5 linked regions of the Oryzias latipes genome follow. The protein of the gene in region 1 interacts with the protein of each later gene in a pairwise test. Links are inferred from orthologs where the notes say so. Each region holds a gene or a part of one and is shown in the gene's direction. Other genes may lie near its edges. The genes, in order: ube2w, rnf111, march5, amfr and rnf5.

Region 1 (3,425 bases):
TGCAGAATTGACAGATTCTGGTGGTTGACTCTTAGGATGATGATGAGAAATTACATTAACCCCGTCTCAGGCTAGTGTTCTTAAAATGATGAAGGAAAATGTCAAAATCTAAATAAATTCATTTAATTCATAAAAACAAAAGCAAGTAACTATTTTAAATATCTACAAACTCCACTGTATTTAATAGATGAATTGAATACATGTTGTAAGCGGAAGTATTTTGTAGTAGTTTTAGTTTAAATCAAAACTGTCTTTTCCATGTTTTCCTGCTTAGTGACAGTAAACTATATTATTTTCAGAAAAGATACTTATAAATGCTGAGTGAACATGTTTAGTTGTTTTAAAAATAAAATTGATATGTTTTGGCAAATTACTTAAATAACATGTTATGCAACTTCTAAAAATACATGCTAATAATAAACTATCATTAATAAAGTGAAGTGGTCAGTTAGAAAAAGTTGTTTATATTAAGGGATGTTTTTCTGCTTCTGTTGTTGTATTCAAAGAATAGAGAGAACAGATTACAGTTCATTCAAATGTATTCTGTTGTATAGTAATTTTGGACCTGATAAGGATTTTGATGATTCTTTATTTAAACCATTTTTTTAAATGTTTTTTTGCATTAAAATCTAAACTAAAAGTAACTTCAGGGTTTTTCTCTTTTATTTTTTTCTACTAAAATCTATCAAATGTTTTTATGTTTAAGAGAGAGCTGTAGGATAGTTATCACTTTTGTTGGGAGATGTTTTTTTTTAAATAAATGTTATGACTTGCACAGCACTTATAAAAGAACGAGCAGCCAAAGTGCCGAACACAGAAATTAAATATAAATAAAATCCCTAAACAATAAAAGAAAGAATAATGATAAAACGATGAAAGCCATGAAGCATTACTAGTTAACCGGTTTGTGTGGTCACATATTATTTTGGCCACTTTATCATTGCTGCGTCACTGCCACAATCTTTTCCACCATTGTTCTGGCAGTGTGATGCTGAAGGACAGCAGATACTGCAGAAAGTGACCTGCCGGCACATTTCAGCCGTGATCCTGGCGTCTGCGTCCCATGTTCCATATCTGGGTACACGGGACTGCTTTCACAAAACGAGTGTCAAAGATAAAAGGGGAGTGTGTTGTCCCCGAAATGTTAAATGAAGGTGAAGAAAGCTGCAAACTCCTGGGTTTTTTCCATCACATGGAGATCAGATAGCTTACACGTGATACAAGAAGCAGTTTGTGAGGAAAAGAACTGTGCTTGATGTCTGTATGTTTTTTAATTGTTTACAAATGGAATTTAACCCAGGATAAAGAGCTTCTCTAAAGTATGTGCCGTCTTGCCTCCTTTTTGGTTTGCATGTCATAAAGCAGAACCAGAAGATTATGAAACAACTTGTCATTCTATACTGACCAAATGTTTTTCTTGCAGCAACTAAGACTAAATGTCTGATTTGATTCTTTCTATCATATAAATAAAGTAAATGTTTAACCTCTTTTAAGTCTATCTTCATAAATTCTTTGTTCATTCAAGGAGGGACCACTTGTGTTTAGATGCAGTTCAGAGTGAAATCTTTTCTATAAAAATTCTATAATTTTTTTTAATAGAATTTAAAGAAATGCACTAAAACATTTTTCTGGGCTAATGTCGATTATCTATTCAAGTTGTAAAATGTATATTTTCCTTGTTATTGCCAGATAATTGACTCAAATACCTGTGTGCTCATAACTATCTGTTGCATGAAAGCCAGCTAATTTAATAACCGTTGATTCTACCTTCTAGCCATAAAACAAACCATCTTACAACTTCTAGTGGATCAACATTTTGGCCAGCAGCTGTCGGTGAGCTGCCCATTTTAGAGGCTGCTGTTGTTTATGGAAACCTACTGAACATTCCTCTCCTTTATCTATTGCTTTATTGTTCCCTCAGTGGGGGTAGAAAGCAAGTCTGAAGACATTCTGACCATATTTTTTAATCGCATCACAGATTGGATGTCTCGTTAATGCTGCTTTTATTTTGGTGGGGTTATTGAATCCTGTTTTTTGTCTCTTGCTTGTCTTTTAGGTGGATTGTAGATATGGAAGGAGCGCCTGGGACTCTGTATGAAGGAGAGAAGTTTCAGCTACTTTTCAAATTTAGTGGTCGATATCCTTTTGATTCACCCCAGGTAAGCACGGCCCCACACGACCCTGAATGTGAGACTTTCTAGAGCTCTTTGTCCCGTGCAGCTGGAAAGGTTTAATAATAAATCAGGTTCTTTTTAAGAACTAGCAGCTAGACTGAGTGTCTACGTTTGACGGAACTATTGGAGGCTTTGAAAGATCTCTATTCAGACAAAAAAAGACAATAACATAAGGATAAACTAAGGCAATTGCTCCTTTTCCATGGCTGATAAGAAGTTTTTCCTGTTTTAGACTAAAGGTTCTGCAAATCAATGTGAGAAATGGAGGTAAAAGTTGTTTAGTACCTGTACAGAGCTGCTTTATGGGTGGTGTATTGGTCACACTCTCTTGTTAAAGGAGCGTGCTTTAGAAACAGTGGAGCTTGGATTCAGTCAAATAGTTTCACTCGACTGTTTGTTATGCTAGTCAATTTCTTGACCATCTAAAAATCCAAAATTCCGAACTAAAACCCAACTGAGCTGCTTGGACACAACTCTATTTACTGTAAGGCCAGACTGTCAAAGGTCGGACAGGTCAATACTGTTCGATGGCGTTCTGTGTTTGTGTTCGGTTGCATCAACATAATCAGAGAAAATGTCCCTTACTTTCTGGGATTCTCCCCAACATGCTCATAAATATGTTGCCTTATAAAACTGACCTGATCTATTGATTTTCTGTTTTAGAACCACCTGATGTTAGACTCTAATGAAAGGATTTCTTTGACGTAGTTTACTTCTATAGATGTTCACACTTCTCATTTGCTGCCAAAGCTTAAAGTTAAACACTTCAAAATCTTCACTCACCACCATCCTGAAATTTCTCGACATCTTTCGATTTCTAGACGTATTGGCTAATTTTGTTCATAGATTGCTAGTTTTTGAATAGCTTTTAGGTTTTTGGATTAATCAATCTTTAGTTTTGTGTTATGTTTGCTTATAAATAAAGCTGTTCTTGTTTTTTTAAATCATTTTTTTATTTTACCTGGAAATAATTTGTAATTTTAGATGTTCCTATCTGCCTTGTATTTTGCTCTCTGTGAGTGAAGGATTATACATCTTAACCCCAATCTCAGCTCTTTCTCTGGTGCTATAATCTGGATTATATGGACATTGATTACCTGTTTACAAATCAGTAATAACGTAAGAAGGCTAAAAGTACAGTCTTCCCATATCGAATCAATCGTACAAAACAAAGAAAAGCTCTTATTTTTAGCAGCATAAACCATAATGTAAACAGTGAGTAGAAGCAGCTGGAATGAGGAAACTCTTTGC
Region 2 (3,515 bases), on another chromosome or scaffold:
TAGGTTTCTCTGCATAAACTGACTAAAAAACAAAAGTGGGGATTTAAAGAATCAACTCATAGCTTCCAGGTCACTTGACTCGCCAGCAGTTTTTACAGCATCTATAAAACGATAGTGAAAATGACAGCAGACCAAGATTACAAATGAATTGATCACAAACGGGAAGAAGCAGGGTTGTGCTTTGGCTCCCCAGGTACGTGTTGTTCCTCATCTCTGCTGTAGATTTGTAAGGACTCTCGCTTACCAGTAAAATCCCAAAGCTACAAAGCTCCATGGCATCCAGCTTTACGACACTCCCACAGCCTCTCGTCCCTTGAGCTCCTTCCTCTTCTCTCTGATCTTTACGGCACCGTTGGGGGAAATGTGACTATTCTCTTGTTTCTCACTTCAGTCTCAAAGGCCAAGGAGTAGAGCGATAGGAGCCTTTGAGAGAGAAAATTAAAAAAAAAAAAAGCAGAGAAAAATACCAAAGACAGAGCAGTAATATAAGTCAAAAATACATTAAAAAGGGGAAAAAAAATAATATTAGAGCTAAAGTGAATGTAAAGCATTTTGATGACAAGCAAACAGTTGACATTAACCAATTCATCAAGGCAAAAGCTTTGCAGGGACCATCATGAAGCCAGGGATTTCATTTTATCTTTGTCCACCTAAAGCAAACATTACTGCAATTTATTGTCTTGTCATTTTATTATGTCATGCAGGCATGAAATTCTGTCCTCACTTAAGTACAATGCTTTTATACTTTTTTTTGTGTGCGCTTGATTTGTTCATAATTTACTGCATTAACTTTTTACACAAACACATCTGTACCAACCCTCATGTTGGCCCAGTGGTACAGTTACATGTTTTGTGTATCTGCAGGTCACGATCTCTGGGGGGTCTTGGCAGAATTTGGCCCAGTAGTTGCTCTCAGAATCGCCTGCAGGAGCCCCGAGGACGTCACCGACTGTCCACAGTTATCCAACCACTGCGTCAGAATGCTGGGGAGGTCGTGGATCTCACTGTTGATGAAGATGGTAATTATGAATCAAGTGGGGTAAAAATAGCAAGGGCATTCCATGTCATGCTGGAAAACAAAACAGAACGTTGTCCTAAAACATTACTTAAACATTAAACATTACTTTTCAAATTCAAATTCAACTTTATTTATATGGCGCTTTTCATGCTACAGAGCATCTCAAAGTGCTCCCCAGAGATAGAAAAAAATAAAATAAAAATAAGATAAAAATATAGGACTTAAAATAATGAACATAGTAAAAACTTTGCCAAGCATGAAAAAAATCCACAACCTGCCTTTGCAGGCTTTCAATAGGCTTAGTCTGCTCCGTGACAGGATTTCCTTTGTCAAAAAATTTGAAAGCTTTAAATTAAGTCAACATTTGCCTCTAAATAACTGTTGACTGTAGAAGTACTAAAAGGAAATTTGTTTTTACAAAATAGTGTTATTTCTTTAAAAGCAAGTTGTTTTTTAACTTTGACCGTGTCATAAGTCCAATCCGCCCATGATGTAGAGCAAAGACTGTTTGCATGCCTAAAGAGAGGGAGAGAAAAGTGAATTTGTAAATATGAAAAGCAGATGGAGTACTAACGCAGTGCAGTGCGCAAAGTCGTTACTTGTCAACTGGAAAATATATCCATAGAAGTACACAATTGTCAGGCTGATACTACAATTATTCTACTACAGAAAAAGTGTCAAAATGGGGGCTCTCTGGCTTTAATGCCGGAAAATTGAGCTCCCAAGCAGCACCTAGAAAATTACAAGCTGGAAACGTTTTTGCTAGTCAGACAGTTACCTTTGACAAGGTATGGTACAAGTAAAACTTCAAAGATGCTCCAAACTCGATAAAATAATCTATCATATACTTAAAAAAATGTTTGTGCTATTACAAGTTAACTGTGGTTAGAACTTTCTATTTTTTTGCCAAAAAAGAAAGACACATTCTTACTCTTTATTGCAACAATTAAACATTTAAAATAAGAAAATAAACCTTGAAAAAAGGTACGAAATGATCTGAAACTGAGATTTAAATGCAGAGTGCTTCCAGTCAGTCTACTAACAAACCAGAGAAGACCAGCAGCAAATTATTGTAGTAATAACCGTTAAAAACAAATAGCTAAATTATTTTGATCCTAAAATCAGTAAAACAATATAGTTGAGCTTCTGTGTTTAAAGCTGTCATGTGGATTTTCCTTTGTGTTCTCATGTCAAACAGACAACTTTAGGTTTGTTCTTGACAAACCCTATAGTTGACAGGAGCTTGATGCAGTCATTCTGAAAATGGTTATTTTCATCTTTACCTCTATTTATTCATTCTCTTTTAATATCATTATTGCAGCTTCACCAAGAATCATTGATTGCTGCTAATGCGTTTTTCTAAAACGTTCTTTACAGACCTTACTGTTGTGCCAACAACTTCTGGGAGCATTCACACTCAAACAGTTAGGTCATCTTCTTCGTCCTCCCATCACACGTCTACCTCAGAGCTCAATGATGCCCCAGGCCCTTCAACTAGTTGCTCTAGTTCACTACCTGAAAGTATGCACATGCAGAGACCAAGTGGTTCTGCTCGCACATCTGCAGAGGGTAAGAAAACCAAAAACGAAGACTGCACATTTTGTTTAGATTTTTTTTTGTAAGGCTTTAGTTTTATATTTTGCTCATTGAAGTCTGAGACTTCTGTAAGACCTGTTGGTGTGTTATGTTTTTTAAAAATTTTTTACCAACTGTTTCTTGCTTTCATCAGATGACAGTAGAGCAAGTCTGTCTGGAGCAGCAGGAGACAACACAGGCACGGCAATGCCCAGACTCCCATCCTGCTGTCAGCAGCACTCCTCATGCGGAGGAGGCCCCTCCCCTGCTCACCTGTCCCTGAGCCACGCCCATCCCAGCTGTTTGCAGGCATCCTCATCTCAGCAGAGCAATTCTCAGCACACTCACAACAGTGCTCATCACTTTCACCACCATGTGCACCATCCTGCTCCACAGCCCCCAGGCACCGTGCCCTTCATAGAGCCCAGCTGCCCCGTGGAGCGTCCCGGTGCTCTCCCTGCACCGTGCGCTGGAATTGGCAGCAACAGTGCTAACAATGCCGTTCATTACCATGACCAGGTATGGCTTTACTGTACCGTGCGTACACATGGAGGATGTTCTTTAGTTAAAGATTAAGCTTTATGTTCCTCCAAGCGAGAAGGTTATAGAAGGTTATGTATTTTACACAAATATAAAATTTTTGCCATTTATTTTCATAGTTAAGAGCACTAAAAGCAGACTTAAATTGTTAGTCATGGAAAAAAATTAGTTAAAAAAACCACATTTGAAGCTCCATGTTATTAGTTAATCTTATTATTCTTTAACATCTGTTTTCCTCCCACAGCAAACTCTGCCAGTAGACCTGAGCAACAGCAGCGTTCGAAGCAGTGGAAACGGTGGTCCGAGTTTCCATGGCAGCACTTCAGCTTTTGACCCATGCTGCCCAGGCTCCACATCGCGACCCCCAGCTTACGTTTCACAT
Region 3 (4,192 bases), on another chromosome or scaffold:
ATGAGACAGGACCGCATTCCCACTGATCCCATTTCCCCTCGTGGAACAGAGTGTCCCTCGCCATTTCAACCGATATAAACCTAAGGATCACAATATAGTGCCACTAGAAAAGTCTTTATTCTCTATAAACACAGAAAAAGGACTTAGTTTGCAGCATAAATGTGCTCCTTGTGCGTTGCTTCGGCTCAACGCCTTGCGTAAATCCAGCGCACATTCTGCAAATATGCCGCAAGTTAGGTTAGATTTACAGACTGAATAAAAAAACAACAACATTTCTAGCTGTTGAGAATAAGAAATACTCAAAGCACACAGTAACATGTGTCATTTGAACTAGTTTTAGAGGCACAACAATAAATCAAACTCTGCCTGGCCAATGATCAGCAAAGATTTGACGACAATTTAAAGCTGTGGTGACACTGAAACAAGCATCGTTTTCAGGCCTTTTAATAGCACGGATGTTTTCAATCAATACTCCACGTGTGTCAGATCATTTTAACAACATAATCGAAATAAAAAAACAACCAGCAGGACTTTCAATGAAACACTCGCTGCACTCAGCCCACCGGGGAATTCGGTGTTTTCTCCTCCAAGAGAAACGCTTCCAAGGTCATGGACGCGGGAGACTGAGCTGCCTGGGGGGGCTCCCCTCTCTGGCCTTTTCATCACACACCCTGACCAAAACAGCTGACACTTGAAGCAGCTAGTGTGGTCGAGACATCCCCGTTTACATGACACGATGTTGCCGTGAAATCCCTCTTTGATATGTCCTGTAAACGTCAGAACAGCATGCACGCGCGGTGACGTCGCCCCTCCGTTAAACTGCCATTACCTTTATCGTTCACCTTTCTGAGACTGTGAATAAAGCTACTTCTCCACGCCTCGTCGGGCTTTGGATTTCACAAACGAGCTGCCCTGGTGGTGCCGAAGTAGTCAGCAGTTGCCTCAACAGCTGATTGACTGCAGCGCATGGATAATACCGAGGTGGCTGATGGGACTTGTAGTTGAACGGGACTTGTAATGACAGCACCAGTTATTCAAAAAGGTATTTAATGTTTTAAAATTGGTGTAAGGCTTGTATTTAAAGTCTGAATTAATTTATGAAATAAGACGTGAAATTTCTTGTGAAAAAACGTCAGGTAGGAATTATGTGGTCTCCGTTCTTGCGTAACGGAGATCCGGACGCAATTATTGAAAGAATTCTTATTTTTGTCTTCATATCCTGGCGTATATAGCAGAAAACCTCTAAAAATGTAAACATAAATATTTTTAAACTAATATGTTTGCTAAAAATCGTAGTAAACAAACTTATGTCTTTATTTTTAAAATTTTCCAGCTAACTTCCGTTTTGGGCTTATGTTGATGACGTCAGACACACGGTACCTTACGTTACCTCAGAGACGGCCAGTCAATGGAGTCAAACGGTCACGCAAACGAGGCCGTAACAGGTTTAAAAAGGATTTCTACCCGGAATAGCACATAGTCCGTAGATCGTTGCTATTCGGATAGACATGACTATTAGGCCGTAGATAATATTGTTGTTGGACTGCGGCTGACGCGGGAAACCAACGCACGAGCCCGTGCGGCTAACCAAGCTAGCTAACCGAGTCATCAGGGGCTGGATTTCGAGTAAATGTATGTTTACTGCAGTTAAATATTGACAGCAATAGGGAGAATTTCGACCCCACATCCCCACTACAATGGCGGAAGAGGCTGCAGTGGTCGCGCAGCAGAACCTGGACAGGTGAGTTCCAGCAACAACACGCTGCCCCCCCCCCCCCCCCCCGCGTATGTATACTGATGCTATCTGAAATAATAGCTCATTGCTATGAACGCACATTTCTGTGTCTCGTACTGTATAAACACTTAACAGAATCCAAATAAAGACCTCTCTCATTAACCAAACATTATACAGTACTACTATAGTATTAAAACATGATAATTGAGTTTTGGTACTTGTTCAGGAGGAAAATGCTTTCAGTTCTGAAGTGATTCATTGTTTGTAAGTTTATGCATATTTGTGAGTCCCTATGAGGATCTTTTGATTTATTGTAAAAGTCTTCCCAATGACCTTTTGAATTAGGATTTTCCAGTTTTTAGCCAAAATGATCAAACCTGTGTTGTTTTTATAGGACATAGTTTCTGCAGAGCAGCAGGAGTTCATCAGTAATTTGCCTCAGAGTGAGCACGACTTTTGGCGTGGAGCAAGCCGCTCCCCTTCCCGTCACCCAATATCTGAGCTCTCTATTTACACCCTCCCCCGCTAGCGTTCACCAGCATTACAACCCCAACCTAACATCAGCAGTGCAGCAGAAATGACGAGCAATGTCAGATCTATCCAGGCGTCCAGTTCTGATCCAGATTCCAGCTAAGACCAGGAAAACAAAGACCTTCATGAATCTATTTGTCTGCAGGTGGATGATCAGAATGGAGCAGAGCAGGAAGCTTAAATCCTGCCCAGCAGATTCTCTACATCACAAACAAGCTCCTTTTCCAACTGCATATTTTTGTCTGCTCCTGATTTATAATGATTTAAATAAAGAAAACCTCAGAAATGCGTTTTTAAGCTTATCAGAAAAATACCACAAGAACATGTTAAAAATGACATTTTCATCAGACTGGGTCTTTAAACGTTTGTCAAATTAGCTGTGTCATTAGCAAAGAGCGGCTGTTGCCCCCAGGTGTACCTGAGGACACAAGCTGCTCTACTAAGAGAGGTTAGTGGGCGTCTGCCCCAAGAACCTGTGTTAACAGCGTGACATCTGGAAATGCCCGGTCCATTTGTGTTGTTTTTCAACCGGTGTGGCATGGCCCACTAGTGTGCCGTGGGAGATTGTCCTCATTCACTGATCTAAAAACATTTCCCATCTCCAGGATTTCAGCTCTGTGTTCATCCAAACAGGTCCTGATAAAACACTGAGTAGTTAGGAATATGAAAGATCGTAAAATACTTTTTCTTTGTGTTCATTTGATTCTATAAAAGACATTTTGATAAGAATGACGGTACCGCGATTTAGCCGCTGCAGCTCTGTTTTATGAAAAGTCCCGCCCCTTTAACTGTCTCCACCAATCATTCTTGGAGGCTTAATCACACGTCATCAGTCTGACCAATCAGAAGTGGTTAAATTCTTCACTTCCTTCTTCAGATTCTGTTCATAAAGTCTCTCAGTTCTAACAAAAATACCAGCTAAAGCTCGTCTTTAGCGGTGTAGCTTTCCACAGAATCCGGTGTCAGACCGTGGAACAAGTGAACAAAACCATGAAGCTCAGAGATGCGAGTCTCTCTGCCCTCGGCGGCAGTTTCACACTACATCTCCCATGATGCATTGGGTTAAAGTGACAGCTCCTCAGCGCACAATGTGAACAGGCTGCCAGTTCACACCTACGGTCCCTCTGACCATCACCAGGACGTTCATGCACATTTATACTCCAGTGGAGCCGCACTGGAGCTACTGCCTGAGCCACTGCCGCCCCATTTCACGAAGCAGTCTTTCCATCAAATCCCTCTTTTAGTGACCCAGTGAACACCAGAACTCTTTGTAAGGCTGTAGGTATTCTAGGTTCTTATTTTCTTAATCTTGGTTGCATCGTTTTTTTGACCTGACTTAAAGGCCACTGGGCGGTCAATGGTGTCAAAAAGTTAGGGACTTGGATATCAATTTATTGAATAGAAATTCTTCTTTTGATAGTCAATAGTATTGATGTAAATCAGTTGGGGCCTGAAAGCGCTCTTCAAACTAGATAACCAGCCGTGCCATGATGTAGAGTGAGTTGAATGTCATGTAGCACCTACGTCTAACCACACACCGATGACGCTCCCCAAGCATTTCTGTGCACAGACAGGACCCCGAGGCCCACAGCACTGACAGAATCTGATAAAGGCTTATACAAGTCATTTCTGGTTGCACATTCTGTCAATATTGAGCTTTGAAATAATCTTTTAAGCATTAAAAGAAAATGCATGTGCCTCAGCTGCGTATTGCAGGTGTGGGGCAGAGCTCCCCTTTGTGTACAGGAAGCTGATAGTAGTGAGGTGTACGCCACGTACACAGTTGTGTACCCAGACTATCGGTGGCAAACAGACGGCTCTTATCTGGGCTGGCTACCAGCTGCCACTGCAATGCAGTGTTTCACAAATGTGTGAGGGAGACATTTGATCCAGTCTGAACTCTAACTTACACAACGGTTCACCACA
Region 4 (3,515 bases), on another chromosome or scaffold:
AGGTTGAATATTATAATGGTGCGTTTTGGAAATATGTGATAAAGTAAGCAGTCACGTCACAGGCTTCTTCTGAGCTTTCATGCACATTGAGCAAGAAAACCTAAAAAAAAAAAAAAAAAAAAGGATTAGAGATGCCCACAGTGGCTGCTCATATTTGCTTACAGTTGAGGTAAACAATGGAGGTTTATCCTCAACAGAAATGGCGTGCATCACAATATTTAAAAAGAATGGGATGCATTTAAAAACTCAAAATCAGTCAATGAATGCAGCATTCATGTGTAACTGTGGCTTCTTTACCACACTTTTGTTTCAAAAAACATAAAATACTCTATTAGATAATCAGCTGACATGCTCAGTTTATTAAACATTCATCACAGGTTAGTTTTGTATCATATTTTGAACTGTTTTTAATAATTATGCAGAGTTCTGTTTACCTTTGGTGGGAATGTCATTGTATAAAAACAAGAACGTCCATCTATGTTGAATATTATGATGCATTGGTTTATTTTTCCATTCTAACTTATAAACATTTTAGGCATCTGAGTAATTTTTGCCATCATATTTATGGTTGAAGTACCTTTTTAAAAGTAATATTATTTTAAAAAAGACTTGGAAAACGTAACAGAAATGAGTCTACTTGGAGTTTTTGCTAAGGTTTGTTCATTGATTCTGTATTTTTTCCAAAACAAACCGCATCATTAGAACATTTCTCTTCTTTCAGTGTTTATTAGTGACTGTGCGGACTGGACATGTCATTATGCGGTGAGTATGTTAAAACTTGCAACACATCAAGCTGTTGGGATGACATGAAGCATGCAAATGATGGATTTGACTTGTCATGGGATTGTTTTGGTTTTATTAGCTCTGACATGAAAGACCTTCTTGTTGGGGGAGGGGCTTAGTAATGTGCAAAAACTCTGATCCTCATGAAGTCGGCTGATCAGGAACGGGGGAATTTTTCGTTTTTACAGCGTTAAGTAAGAACTTGGGACATATGGAGACATTTTTAATGCTATCCCATTTTAAGGGATGGTTTTACTGTAATGTTTTTGTGTTTTATACTCTAATGTAGCTAATTAAAATTAAACAAAAAAAGCTTTAGCTAGCATTTGATTGCTGCTTTAAAGGGGCCTATACCATGCTCAGAGCGCAGGTTTTTAGAGCAATACTGAGAAAAGCAGGACTTTTCTTTTCCTGAGGAAAGAACATTCTAATACACTTAAAAGCTCAGTAAATTGTTTTGCATGGTGCAGCCATTTAAATATATTTCCTCCAGTCCAAAATCTTGTTGACATATTTCGTATCTTTCAGTTACTCCATCCATCTGTGGGATTTGAATCATCCAGGGACCTGGGAGAGCAAAGGCACTTATGTCTACTACACTGACTTCATAATGGAATTGGCTATGCTGTTTCTTGACCTCATGCACCACATCCACATGCTGGTACCATTCAGTCTCAATTGAATGTATATCTTTGTTTTTTCTTCTACGTTTGTCCTTTTCTACTTTAAGTTTCTATCTTTTTTTTGTCCCATTAGCTTTTTGGTAACATCTGGTTGTCCATGGCAAGCTTGGTTATCTTTATGCAGCTGCGATACCTTTTCCATGAGGTCCAGCGGCGTGTTCGCCGCCACAAGAATTACCTTCGTGTCATCAACAACATGGAGGCCAGGTGGGAAAATGTTGCCTTTGTTTTTTTTGACTGGCTCATTACGTTTCAGCCATGATTTGTAATTGTGTGTCACATTTCTGTTTTGGTTATTTTTGCCAGATTTGCTGTTGCTACAGCTGAAGAGCTAGCGGCCAATGATGATGATTGCGCCATCTGCTGGGATGCCATGCTAACAGCACGCAAACTACCTTGCGGTCATCTCTTTCATAAGTAATGAAGCAGTAATCTCTGTATAAGTTCAGCCAGATGGACCTACATTCTATTTATGATATATGCACATATTTTATAAGTTTTGTTGGTGTTTATTTACCAAACAAAGGCTTTTGTTCTCTGCATTTATCAATTTTGGTGCAGTGATTGATAAACCTTGTTGTCCTTAGGTAGAAATGACTTTTTATTTGACACTGGACTATTTTGTTTGATTTATGTATTTATTTTTACAGCTCCTGTTTGCGCTCGTGGCTGGAGCAGGACACGTCGTGTCCTACGTGTCGAACGTCGCTGAATATCAGCGGCGATGGAAGTCAGGTGAGAAATCAGCAGCCAGGGGTGGGTTTGGAAGACAATATCGGCCCAGTTGGAGCTGCTCCAGACGCTCGGCCGCACATCAACCAGCACAATCACTTCTTCCACTTTGATGGTAAGTCTGCTGCACAGATTGAATCATAAATATCTGCTGCACCTTATAACAGTCATACATTCCTCCTTTAGGATCTCGCATTGCGAGCTGGCTGCCCAGTTTTTCAGTGGAAGTAATGCACACCACCAACCTTCTGGGCATGGCTCCACCAAACAATTCCCAGCTTATGGCCATGGTAAGTCCAAGCCATTTTTGAGTTAAACTCAAAAATGTGTCACAATTGTGAGATTGTCATCTGTTAAAGACTTGCGGGGAGTTTTTGTATATTGCTACAGAGATCCACCCAAAATTTAAAACGTTAATAAAAAAAAGTCTCACGACCTCATATCTATTCCTTTTAACATGAACAAAATGTATAGAAAAGGGAAGAGTGTAGTCTTTGATTTTCTTTGTAAACAAACATCAGTTCCTCTATGGGTTTTATTCATTTTTTTTTAAAAAGTGGAAGCATGAGTTGTTTTCTTTACTGTATTTGTTCAAACTTGTGTTGATGATAAGAAGTCAGTATAAGACCGAAAAGACAATATGATTCTCTTTTGGTGCTTGCTTTTAATAAGATTTAGAAAATATTGGCGCGATTTAACTGAAGCTGGTCAAGCCAAAGATAACAATAGGATGTGTCTTTGTATTTTCTTTAAATCCTCCTTCTCCATTTATATTCTCTTCTTTCTCTTTGTGCATTTCTTCTCAACAGACGCATCAGATTCAGGAGATGTTTCCTCAGGTGCCCTCGTATCTTGTAATGCAGGACCTTCAACTGACTCGCTCTGTGGAAGTCACAACAGACAACATTCTGGAGGGACGCATACAGGTGCCCTTCCCCACACAGGTCAGTATCTTTGCATTCTCTGCAGCAGCGTTCCCCAAAAGAAGACTTGTCATATGGGTTTCTTTGGTTGTCTTAAACTGTTTTTGTGTGACTTTTTTCGGGCTTCCATTTGTCCAGCAAAATTGTGTATGTGTCTTCTTCCCTTCAGGCCATAGAGCATTCACCCACAAATGAAGAGCAAGCAGGTCCCAGTGGAGCATCTGAACAGAACGCCAACGAGTCGGACAACATTGAGGCCAGAGGGGGTCGTTTCTCAAAGTCAGCTGACGAGAGACAGAAGATGCTCATGCTGAGGAAAGAGGAGATGCTCCAGCATGCACGCAGGTTGGAATGCTGCTATTCACTATGAAGGGATTAGGTAGAAAATGACGGT
Region 5 (4,070 bases), on another chromosome or scaffold:
TGTATTTGTAGAAGCTAATCGTTTTCTTGGCTTGTTTCTGTCGTTTGATCTTCATGTTCCGCCTTGAATAAAAAAAGAAATTAGCGAAAGCAAAAACAAAGCTTTAAACTTAAATTAATGTCTTCTTTCTGCAGTCAAAAAGGGTCAAAATAAGATCCTAAATCAGCGTGGAGCTGTACTCAAACGGTTTTGTGCGTAGGCCTAATAGCTCCGGAACGAAACAAAGATGTCTGCTTAAAGTTCCGGTTTTGAAACGGGGATGTTCATAAATGAGTCAATTAAAAAAATAATGTTTTAAATAAAAGACACTGTTTTTCTTTCTTTTAATCTTTAAATCTTTTTAATGTTTGGTTTTCAGATTTAACGGGTTCTGTCAGTTTAAAAAAATGCCTATCCCGGTTAATTTAATACAGTAAATGCAGTTATACATTTAATGTATTGAAGAAGGAAAAAAACGGTTGGGATATATAGTTATAATTTAACTTGAATAACAGAATTTTGAAATGTTAGTTTTTTGAAATTTTTTAGAAACAATTGTTTGTCTTTGTTTGTTATTTACATCCTGATTACTGACTGCCCTATTGTTTGTATTAAATTGATTCAAAAGAACACATCATTTTATGATAATTATCATTGTTGTCATTTCCGTTTGTTTTTTAAACATTTTATTAAAACAAGACACAAGACAATAAGTAAAAGAAAACACTTTAAATACTATGCAACTTGCACCACTGACAGTGAACATTATCAGTCAAGAGGTTAACAAGGTTTAATTAAACTTAATATAGAAAAAAAAACAAGACTCTTTGCTGTTTATTTAAAATCTTCTCAGTGTGCCATTAGTTATTACTGTTGTTGTCAGGTATTTGTGTGTGTATGAGTGTGTGTGTGTGTGTGTGTGTGTGTGTGTGTGCGCGCGTGTTTATGTGTGTATAAGTTTGACACATCACAATATTTGTTTTGTTTTGCCTTTCTTGAATTTATGAATAAGGGTTATTTAAAATAAAACACTACCGGATGTAACCTTAAACATTGGCCTTGCTTCATAGAATAGAAGAGAATAGAACTTTATTGATCCGGTAAAAAGTAATTTATTTTGATACCATAGTGCAATTGAAACCCGCAGATAGATGATAAACATTGAAAATACACTTAAAAAGTAAATAACCACGATAATCATTGTACAGTCTCCATGAGGCGTTTGTATTTACATTTTTAGCCCCGCCCCCCGACTCTTACAGCATTATTTTGACCGGAAACGGAAGTGGTTTCTCAGACAGCAGCAGCAGCCACAACTCAGTCCAAAGTGAAGACTGTACCATCAGTGTCGGACTCGGCTAACGCTAGTACCAGTCGGGCACGAGTGGCTTGGGTTGACTCAGTTCGGATTACTTCCCTTCGCTGTTCCGATAACCGTCATGGCGGCGGCGGATCCCCGCTACTCCAGAGGAGGTTTCCCCGCGGGGGAAAGCAGCAACGACCGCGACGGGCCAGGCGGCGGCAGCGGGGAAAGCGAGCGGGACCGGGCCACCTTCGAATGCAATATTTGTTTGGACACAGCCAGGGACGCTGTCATCAGTATGTGCGGACACCTGTTCTGGTACGAAACCAAAACAGTAGTTATTAGAGTGTGTGGGGGTGTTTTTCCATGATCTTTTGATGTTATTTGCCCGCGCGCGCGCGGCCTTCTTTAACGTCAGCTGTTGACGGCGGAGTCACGCCCCTCGCTGAAAACCACAATAATAATAATATTAAAAATAAGAATAAAGTACAAACTAATATTTTACAGAGGCAGGTCATAACTGTTTTACTGCATTACACCTAAACATTTTTTACAGCATTTTTATCAGCTGTCAGTCAAAGGTGACGTATTAATCTGTGACATATTAACTCTTATTGTAAATGCTTAGTGACCATTTCTAACTTTAACATCAGTCTGTGATGAGCCAAACTTGCTTCAGCTTGTTGCTGTGATTTAATCAGCTATTCTGTTTAAATCCACTTTAATCTGAACTGGCAGCTCACCACATCTGAAAGGAACCTGCGGCCAAAGACTTTCTAGCATTTTCTCCCCCTTGTGATCCAAACTTGCGCAACCTTCAACCTTCATGTTGTCGGTTCACACAAACTCAGTGGTTTTTGTGTGACTAATCTGGGAGTCGCTGATGTGACATCAGGGTCAGCAGGTTCCTATCAGCTGTAATCGAAAGCAGCGAAGGGTTCAGTGTGGAAACAAGCACAGGCTTGGACTTTGGTGGTTTAAGGCGGTTAACACATCAGAGATTGTTTATTGTGCAAAATCCAGAAAAGAATTGATCAAGAAGGACTAAAATCTAAGTGCAGGAAAATATAATCTTTGGAATGTATTGAAGAAGCTGTAAAAAAATGCAAATGTACATTTTCCTTCAACAGTTCTTGCTCATTTGGGGGGGGTTTGCAATAGAATAAAAACAAATCATGAAAGTGATTTATTAAAAATGTTTAACATGTTCTTGTGGCATTTTTCCGATGAAAGAGGACAATTATAGAGAAAATTAAACATTTTCTGAGTATTTTGTTATTCAAATCATTGTGAATCAGGAGCAGAATTTTAAAAAATTCAGTTTGAAAAAGATCGTATTTGTGACAGAAAATAAACTGGGCGGGCCATAAGCTCACAGATTAAGTTGGGGTTGTGTGAGGGGCTGTAAGCCAGCAGGACAGCGTGTAGACAGATGCATGATGGGAAGTGGCATAACAGCACCATCATAATTAAAAGGGAACTATTCATCAATAGATCAGGTTGTAGAGCGACTCTGATTACTGTTGGTTATATTTCCTTTCATTTTCTTTGCTGGCTTTTGTGATGTCACAGCCGATCGTTATTAAAACCGCTTCTCATTTCTCTTTCTGCGCTTCCTGTACTCTGTTTGAAAAGCTGGAAAATGTATATTTGATATGGCTATGATTGTCAGAAGGAGGCGATGAAGCCAGTTTTGTCTTTAAGCTGCTGAACAGAAATAGAAAAAGTTGGTAAAACAGAGAAAATGTTAGACATTCAGGAAACTTTGAGACATTTAAAAAAATAAATCCACACATATATTTGCATTTATTGTATCCATTATATGTCTTTTAATATAGTGTCACTCTTTTTTTAGAAGTTTGTAAATATAAAAACAAGTATTGGTGTGTTTTAGAGAAAATCTGTCCAGTTGAATGAATCGGTACAAACACGCCGTTTTTTTTCTCAGACAGAGGAAGGATTTCTGTTGTAGCTTAACCAGCCGTTGATTGCTGCTACTTAATATAAACAAAAAGAAGAACAAATAAAGTCTAATTAACTTAAAACCCCCAGAGGAAAAACCGCTCCGGAGCTCTCTGGGGGTTAAATCCCGGTCCAGTACCGGATCAAGTTCTGGTGGACCAGCTGGTGCGTGTCTGTGTTTGCAGCTCCCACGGCGGCGTGCGCTGATGTAACGTCGTTGCTATGTTACCCCCCCCCCCCCCCCCCCCCCAAATCTGTACGTAACATGATGAAACTTTGAAGCAAGGAGGTCAGTTGATGACATCAGCTCACCTGCTGCAACATCTCATCAAGCTGCTTGTGGAATAGGATTCATCATCATCTTTGACTTTTAGCTATGCAGTGTCGGATTTTCCACAAACTCTCACTGAAATGTGGTGTATTTTATTGTAAAGTAATATTCTGCTTAGATTAGTTTTTCAAGCCATCTCTGAGATGATTTCATAAACTGGTGTTTGGAGCCAAAAAAAATGCGTCTGACTTCATTGCAAAGGTAATCTGAAAAACACAAAATGATGAGATAAGCAGCTTTTATTTTGAAGGCACAAAGTCCTGCGGCTTCTCAGTTCAAATAAATCAGGTTTTTATCACTTGTTGCAGGTTAAAGTTGGTATTGAAACTCAGGATTTGCTCTGTGTTGATCCTTGATCCTAAATTGACTGCGGGGACGCCGATCCCCGTTTTTTAAACCCAAGCAGTGCAGATTACTGCGCCGGAGTGCTGCTGTGGTTCTGAAAGTCCCGCCCTTCTTGTTGGTTTGCATGCTCCAAGTTCCTTCATGACTAAA

Evidence for each region.
Region 2: the proteins of ube2w (region 1) and rnf111 interact in a two-hybrid assay, tested with the Homo sapiens proteins (2 studies listed by BioGRID and IntAct). The link is inferred for Oryzias latipes from reciprocal best matches to the Homo sapiens genes UBE2W and RNF111.
Region 3: the proteins of ube2w (region 1) and march5 interact in binary tests that used the Homo sapiens proteins (3 or more experiments, as listed by UniProt). The link is inferred for Oryzias latipes from reciprocal best matches to the Homo sapiens genes UBE2W and MARCHF5.
Region 4: the proteins of ube2w (region 1) and amfr interact in a two-hybrid assay, tested with the Homo sapiens proteins (2 studies listed by BioGRID and IntAct). The link is inferred for Oryzias latipes from reciprocal best matches to the Homo sapiens genes UBE2W and AMFR.
Region 5: the proteins of ube2w (region 1) and rnf5 interact in binary tests that used the Homo sapiens proteins (3 or more experiments, as listed by UniProt). The link is inferred for Oryzias latipes from reciprocal best matches to the Homo sapiens genes UBE2W and RNF5.

The regions. Positions count from the first base shown.
Region 1 is NC_019878.2:16,091,636-16,095,060, forward strand, and holds part of ube2w (ubiquitin-conjugating enzyme E2 W), read left to right. Parts: intron 1-2,056; coding exon 2,057-2,159; intron 2,160-3,425. UniProt on the Homo sapiens protein: Accepts ubiquitin from the E1 complex and catalyzes its covalent attachment to other proteins.
Region 2 is NC_019861.2:21,213,803-21,217,317, reverse strand, and holds part of rnf111 (E3 ubiquitin-protein ligase Arkadia), read left to right. Parts: intron 1-864; coding exon 865-1,019; intron 1,020-2,395; coding exon 2,396-2,587; intron 2,588-2,747; coding exon 2,748-3,112; intron 3,113-3,377; coding exon 3,378-3,515. UniProt on the Homo sapiens protein: E3 ubiquitin-protein ligase. Required for mesoderm patterning during embryonic development. Acts as an enhancer of the transcriptional responses of the SMAD2/SMAD3 effectors, which are activated downstream of BMP.
Region 3 is NC_019873.2:3,260,541-3,264,732, forward strand, and holds the start of march5 (E3 ubiquitin-protein ligase MARCH5), read left to right. Parts: upstream 1-1,378; 5' UTR 1,379-1,697; coding exon 1,698-1,741; intron 1,742-4,192. Other genes in the region: cpeb3 (cytoplasmic polyadenylation element-binding protein 3), read right to left, coding at 564-663. UniProt on the Homo sapiens protein: Mitochondrial E3 ubiquitin-protein ligase that plays a crucial role in the control of mitochondrial morphology by acting as a positive regulator of mitochondrial fission and as an important regulator of immune response.
Region 4 is NC_019861.2:26,256,895-26,260,409, reverse strand, and holds part of amfr (E3 ubiquitin-protein ligase AMFR), read left to right. Parts: intron 1-721; coding exon 722-762; intron 763-1,311; coding exon 1,312-1,444; intron 1,445-1,539; coding exon 1,540-1,673; intron 1,674-1,772; coding exon 1,773-1,883; intron 1,884-2,116; coding exon 2,117-2,313; intron 2,314-2,384; coding exon 2,385-2,488; intron 2,489-3,007; coding exon 3,008-3,142; intron 3,143-3,290; coding exon 3,291-3,466; intron 3,467-3,515. UniProt on the Homo sapiens protein: E3 ubiquitin-protein ligase that mediates the polyubiquitination of lysine and cysteine residues on target proteins, such as CD3D, CYP3A4, CFTR, INSIG1, SOAT2/ACAT2 and APOB for proteasomal degradation.
Region 5 is NC_019869.2:5,392,525-5,396,594, forward strand, and holds the start of rnf5 (E3 ubiquitin-protein ligase RNF5), read left to right. Parts: upstream 1-1,263; 5' UTR 1,264-1,418; coding exon 1,419-1,600; intron 1,601-4,070. Other genes in the region: rRNA-processing protein UTP23 homolog, read right to left, coding at 1-55. UniProt on the Homo sapiens protein: Membrane-bound E3 ubiquitin-protein ligase that mediates ubiquitination of target proteins. May function together with E2 ubiquitin-conjugating enzymes UBE2D1/UBCH5A and UBE2D2/UBC4.